2 linked regions of the Oryzias latipes genome follow. The protein of the gene in region 2 interacts with the protein of the main gene of each other region in a biochemical or structural test. Links are inferred from orthologs where the notes say so. Each region holds a gene or a part of one and is shown on either strand. Other genes may lie near its edges. The genes, in order: bmp4 and bone morphogenetic protein receptor type-1A.

Region 1 (3,150 bases), on a different chromosome or scaffold from region 2:
TTTAAACTAATTTGATGCAAAATGCAAACAAATTAAGTCAAATATGTATTTTATTTTTCTCATTTCAGGATTTTTTGTGATTGAAATATAGTGTAACTTTTATTTAAAAATATTTTTGTAAATAGTTGAGACATACTTTTTTTTACAACGGACAAAACCAATATTATAAAACAAAAAGATTACGTTTATAGTGGTAGATTAACGCCAAGGTACAGATGGAACTTGATTTTCTTGATATATGACATATATATATATATATATACATGTAACGGTATATATATACCATATATATTTTTATATATATATATATATATATACACACCATATTTATGATATGTATATATATATATATATATATATATATATATATATATATATATATATATATATATATATATATACATGTAACGGTATACATATACCATATATATTTTTATATATATATATATATATATATATATGTGTGTATATATATATATATATATGTGTGTGTGCGTGTATGTGTGTGAGTGTTAGGCTTTGCTTATTTTTTCAGATACAAAGTGGGTACATATTATGATGTGACCGATTGATTTAAATGAAGCAGTTCATGTTTTATTTTTTCTGTATAAAACAAAAGCAATAAATATCACCAGTAAATAAACTTTACTTTGTTTTTACTATTTTCTCCATAAAAAAACAAAAAAACAATCTAATGTACATTATGAAAAGTTGTACAGCTTTTGTTTTAAAATAAGGGCTCAATTTGTCTTTAATATGTAGATATAAATATATATATTTTGCCAAAATGTATGATAAAAGGGAAAAAAGTGAGACAAACATACAGATCATAGAAGTTATAAATAATGGTAAATGTTTTTGGGTGGAATTGTTTCTGCTTTGTTTGTTGCCAGTCCAAATGACAGGTTTTTTTTTTCTTTTCTAAAAAAAAAGGTCTTCATACTCCACGGGAACAGGACATTTTTTTCGGCTTCACAAGGTAGATGAAAGAAATCTAGGATATTTTGAAACTAAACTTATTAGAAGTCCTGATTGGGTCCTCCTGCTGTGACATTACACAATATATAATGAAAAAGTGAAAATGCAGTTCATTGAGGAGAAGGAAAGGAAGAATCATGTTGGATTTGTCGTTTTTAGAGCAGGGTCTTCCTTCAACAGTGGAAACCAATCGGCCATGAAAGACTTTTTCAGAATGTCAACCGATTGTTTTTACGACATGGTCCATCAGATAATGCCATTCAGTCAATTTGCACCTACAGACAGAGCTGCATTAACCCCGCCCACTTCAAATCAACCAATCATTAAACACCTTTGCACAAAATACAAAGTTCTGCTTAAAAGTTGAGTTGGGAACAAGCTGGGAGAACTTGAGAAAAGAAATGCAACAATTGCTCTTGCACGACTGGGAGATTACATTTCTCTGCTCCCGCGGAGTATGAAGAGGCTTTCAGTTTGTGGGTCAGCGGCAGCCGCAGCCTTCCACTACCATTTCCTGGTAGTTTTTTAGGACCACCTTGTCATATTCGTCTAGGTATAGCATTGAGATGGCGCTGAGCTCTGTTGGTACGCAGCAGGCCTTGGGAATGTTGTTGTTCACAGAGTTCACCAGTGTCTGCACGATGGCGTGGTTAGTTGAGTTCAGATGATCTGCCAGCGGAAAAGGGCACTCTCCGTGGCAGTAATAGGCCTGGTAACCAGGAGGTGCCACTATCCAGTCATTCCAGCCTACATCGCTAAAGTCCACATACAGAGTATGGCGCCGGCAGTTGCGGTTTCGTTTACGCCCTCGTGGTTTGGGGCTGCGTTTTGTCCGGCGTGTCAATGAGTGACCCTTTCCATCGTGGCCAAAGGTAACCAGAAGAGGGCGTACCTGGTCCCAGTCCTCTCCTGGCTCCTGGTGTAAGGAACGGCTGATGCGGACATGTCGGTGCTGGTTGTGTGGAGTCTGATTAAGGTGGAGAATCTCCACAGCCAGTCCATAATTAGGGAGCCGTTCCCGAGTCCAACGTAGCACAGCGGGGCTGACGTCAAAGCTCTCCCAACGCGAAGCGTTGTGGCGCACAAGCCGGGTGTCCAGAAGCTGCGTGATAAGCTGCCCGGGCCGCGGGGGTTTAAGCACCTCGTATATGTTTATCCGATGAAGGCCCTGGTCGTTTAGGGGGCTATCATCGTTGGCCTCGCCCAGCTGCTGACGGTAGAGTCGCAGCTCTGCGGAAGACAGCAGCTCGTCCTCTGGAATGCTACTAAGGTTGAACAGGAAGCGAAGACGGATGGATTCTGCATCATCCACTTCGTGTATCCTCTCCATGTGCTCTGAAAACAAGAAAAAAAAGTATGTTGATGCATAGAGAATAACTCTGCTGTGTTTGATGTGAACTCTTGTAGCATTAAATTTGACTTTTTTAGAAGCTTACGAGCATTTACGCAACTCAAGACAAACAGTTCATCTCCTCACTCTTAAGCAGGCTTAACTCACATCAAATAATATAAGCCTAGACATCTTTAGGCCTCTAGCGTAACCAGGTAAAGAAATATATATCATCCACACTTCCTTATCTTTCTTCGAGGATTATCCGGCTCTTCTCCGAGCATCTTTTTCTGAGCACTTTGCTGAAACATGCATTACAAGGAGGGTGGTGATTAACGTACCACAGCTACAGTATAAACACAGTGAAGGCTCCCTGTTCCACGCACAGTCTGCAGATTTCTGGCAAGATCACCATTGTTGGGGAAAGGAATGTTGTGTCTACTATTTTCCTGCTCAATCCACCCCTGTTATTTCACACCCAAGCCCTAATCTTCCCCAGGTGGTTCTCATTATTAAAACCTGCTGTGCTTTTGATTAGCACTGTAGTTTGTTCACTTAAGACATTTATCATTTTCATCATGAATAATCATTAAGGAATCAAACAATGCACTAGAATTACACTTACTCCAAGCCTGTGGGAAAGAATGCTTCGCCTGGCTAATTAGAATTTCAAGTATCCACACACCTCACCTCTGTGTTCCGATGTCTGACTAAAGAAGCAGCTGGAAACATCACTTTCCATTACCGAAGGGCAGTCAAAGCCATCTTTAAGGATGAAAAGTTTGCCTTTCCTGTAAACATCTCCTCAACTCACTGTCCATCTGCTGCAGACTGTAATACCT
Region 2 (4,319 bases):
ACCACATCTGTTATAATCCGGGTTTTAACAGAAACCTAAATTTTCAAAGTTATAAACTCTCTACAAACATTTGCAAAGACTCTTAGTTTGTCTAACAGACAATAAAGTTATGTTGCTTTTTAGAAACACAACAAAGATAAAAGAAAATGTGAAAACAACAATTTATTGTTTTGATTAAGTTATAATCCTGTATAAAGTCCTAAAATTTGAGGCTTTACATTTAACATCAACTTTCAGCCCTTAAAGTGAAACAACAAAAATCATATTTTATGACAATATGAAATCCAAACAAATATTTATATTTCAACTCAGAATCTCAGATTGATGTGTTAACGTAACTAGGGTATGTCAACACATACACTCAGCGATTTATCTGCAAAAAAAAAGTTGGCTCTTGTTTTAAAAAAACAAAAATGTTTGAATCAGCACCATTCATTCAACAAACAGTTAAGACCTGCAGTTTCAGTGAAACGGCTATAATCCAACATCACACATGAAGGACTCAATGGCAAAAATAAAAAAAGACTTGTACTTAACAACAATTCCAAGATTCTGACAGAAACACACTAATCTTAGCAAAAAACATAGATACAGGCATGACATCTGCCTATGATGCTGAACAAACGTAGACCCAAAAACTACAAAAAAGCTGGACCAAGCTCAACCCCCTGTAAGACACCACAACAAAATAATCATATTCTATCTGACTACGGAAAAAGTGGCCAACGACAATAGAGAGTAAAAACAAAACAAAAAAAACCTGCCAGATTTATAAAACACCCACTGCTCTTTTGGGAAGTAGTGTGTCTCTGTCATGATGTCACTAATCTATCTTTTACAATCACATTTAAAGGATTCTGTCTCTTAAAAGCTTTAAAATGTGATTAAAACAGCCATTTTCAATTTGTTTTACACAACCATATTAAAGTGTCTTCTTCAAGTAATAATTAGTCAAGTAAGAATTGTTATTTATTTGTATTATCACTTTATAGATTATAATCATAGAATGTTCTGAAGACCCACTCTGATAAAAATAATGTTTTTGGTGTTTTTAACATGTTCTTGTGGCATTTTTCTCATGACGGAGGACATAAATAGATCCAAGTACTTAATTTCCCTGGTCTGAGCTCGTATGTGGCTCAAAACTGAACATCTGGATGATTCCAATATTGCTCCTCATTTTTGTTGCACAAGTTTAAGGGAGATTGTGTAAACAGATGAATGACGGGAAGCACAGACAAGCTTACTAGTCTGCACCAAAAGCCGATGAAGTACTGCCGCTCAGCAGAAACTATGTCCTAAAAAACAACAAAGGTTGTTTTTTGATTGGCTTAAAACGGCATATTTATAATTAAAAGACCACTAGGAACACTTTTACAATAGAGTCAATGATGATTGGACTTTTAAAAAAAACTGAACTGAAGGAGCATACGTCAAGCTTTTAGGACAGAAACTGCTCTGATCTAAGAACCAACTAGTTTCAGTTAAAAAAGAAAGCTAATCGTGGTTCAGTTGGGTTAGGATTTTACTCCAACACAAAACTAATTGCTCAAAACTGCACATTATTTCACTGATTAGGCAATCAGTTTGATAGGATGAAATAATCAAACATATTAAAGACCATCACATAAAATAAAGATGACTTTAAATGGAAAATAAACAGGTCTGAACCAAGAACAGCCCCTGAGGACAAGAGGGAGCCGTTCTGTCTGAAACCCTAAACCACAGAAATCAATCAACTTAAAATCAATTTTAAAAGGTATAGGCCAGATTTGTCTGGAGATTAAAAAAACCTGAACAATCCAGGTATTAAGAAGGCAACAAACATAACGACCAAAACATGTTGACAATAAGAAAAAAAAAAAAAGTTTTACTTCAACAATACTGGTCCCAAGTATGGCAAAAAAGAAAGCCCCGAGTGGAATACATTCGAGGTTTTTCCAAAAATGTCAACAAACTCAACGAAGGCTTAACCAGGAAAGTTTGCGAATTTTCGCTAAACTGAATGTGGGGTTTTGGAGTTTGGAGAAACATTGCACTAACACCAAAACATAATTAAAAAAAAAAAAAACAATCAGAGTTTGTGTTCCGGGGCTGATGCTGGAGGCTAAATATGTTTGGCAGTCTCCGACACAAACACACAACAAGCTACAAAACGAGCGCGCCACAGGTGGCTCCGGGTAGCGCGTGCACGAGAAGCAATAATTTCAGGTAAACAGAGAAAACCAGCAGAAACTAGACCTTCTCTCTGCGTGTTATAGCCCCACATGCTAACGAGAAACTTAGCTCAACTTTCTCTAACTTTCACACATAGTTGACTACAGACAAACGAACTCACGGACAAACGGGCAAAATTGATCAAAATTATCGGTAACACGTTTTTTCTAACCGTAAAAACTGTTTTATTACAAATAAGTGATATTTGCGGAGTTAGCTAACCGAGGAATGCGGCTAACAAGCGACATCTCGGTGAACAAACTGCGGCAAAGATGATCCAGATAAACTCTCCCGCAGATTTTATTCACTTATCTGGGATCAACAATGCCTGCTTACATACTGATGGGCTTCATCATAGCCTCTTTTCTGCAAAACATTTAATAATCTCGCCGAAGCTCAACAACTGGGAACTTTTTCGACAGCGTTGCCAACAGGATACGACTATTTCCTGGCGCCAAACCACTCACGAAATCTGTTCATTTTATTTGAATTTTTTTTTTCAGTATCACAAACAACTGACAATATATCCCAATGCCGAACTTATAATCTAATAACTACTTCATAAAATAATGTATAAATACCAAGTTTACATTTATTTTCTTCCAGGCTCTATTCGCTATGTGATTCAGCACATAGACGGAGCTGAAAAGTCCAACTACAGGGAGTGAAGTTCGGGGTTTTGTTGGATCTTATCCGCCTTACCTTATCCTCCTGGGTGCCTTATTTACTCCTTGGGACGCATCTCGTTTTCCAGCACAAATCTGTTGTTTAAATCCTAACTCTGAATAGTATTCCGGGATACAGATACGTATTTTCCAGCGGTTTTGCCGTTCTCTCCATGCGCCTCAGTACTCGCTCCTTCTGCGGTTTTCTCTGTTTGACGGCGAGGACAGTGAATCCCAAACCTGTTCGAAGATCGTCTGTGAGCAACGAGACTACTCACTCTAACGTCAAATGAGACAGTCAAACTTCCGGATGAGCCTTTCCAGTTACCTGACTTTTTAATTAGTAAATAATTTAATACAGATTTACATCTGAATAAATCTCTATTATTGATGTTTTTTATCATAAATCTATACTGCCAACATACAGTAAGCGTTTCTTTTTGTGCGCCACATTTATATTCAATTCTATAGTTTACGTTGTTTCATTGCGTTTCCCATGGATGCAGTTCATGTGACTTTTTTGTCTATTAGAAATTTGAGGATAATAACTATTTATAACATCCTGTATTTAAATTACCACACGCTAAAATCATGTTTGAATGTATCTATTCTTTGTGCCTTCTTCTTTTAAAAACTGAAAAAGGTAATAAAGTCTCCGTCTAACCTCCCGGTTGAGTTGATATTACTGTCAGAGTGAGAACTCTTGCCTAATTTCTTTCATCTGTTTTTGCAATCACTACTCTGTCCTGGCTTTTACTTTGAAATTCTGACTTAAGCTTAGTCTGCCTCCATCTAGTGGCTAGTAGCGAAACAACAGGTCTGCAAAAAAAAGAAAAAAATTAAAGGGAAGAGTAAATACTTTTTGAAAAGAGTTTGGTCACAGATAAGAACATAGACGCTGGATTGGTATTATATATATATATATATATATATATATATATATATATATATATATATATATATATATATATATATATATATATATATATATATATATATATATATATTTTTTTTTAAACATTTTAAATGTTCAAAATATTGATGCTCGAAAAAGCAACATTATTTTATGGAATTTAGTAAATGTAAAATTTGAAGTGAATTAGTTTATAAAGCTGCTAAAAACCCAAGTGTTTTTCTTGATTTCAAGCTGTGAAATAATGAAGAACAGGACAAATGCAGATGTTTTTTATGATGTAAGTGCTCGCTTTATTCAGACTGCAATGCTGTAATTCTCCTTGTAAACCTGTCAAACAGTAAAGCAGCATTTCAGAGTGATAGCAGGTTCATCCCAGCCTTCCTGCTGCTCATCACAGTTTCTAACCATTCTTTACAGTAATATTCTGCGTATGTGTCTGGAGGGCGGGGTCAGAGCTTTTTTTTTTTACATCCCAACATGCTGCAACAAACTGCTCTGCATGCACATTCACACTGTCTGAC

What was found.
Region 1: the proteins of bone morphogenetic protein receptor type-1A (region 2) and bmp4 form a complex in vitro, tested with the Homo sapiens proteins (3 studies listed by BioGRID and IntAct, with this or other methods). The link is inferred for Oryzias latipes from reciprocal best matches to the Homo sapiens genes BMPR1A and BMP4.

What each region holds. Positions count from the first base shown.
Region 1 is NC_019880.2:7,812,132-7,815,281, reverse strand, and holds the end of bmp4 (bone morphogenetic protein 4), read right to left. Parts: intron 2,314-3,150; coding exon 1,460-2,313; 3' UTR 640-1,459; downstream 1-639.
Region 2 is NC_019873.2:12,328,333-12,332,651, forward strand, and holds the start of bone morphogenetic protein receptor type-1A, read right to left. Parts: upstream 3,131-4,319; 5' UTR 2,920-3,130; intron 1-2,919. UniProt on the Homo sapiens protein: On ligand binding, forms a receptor complex consisting of two type II and two type I transmembrane serine/threonine kinases.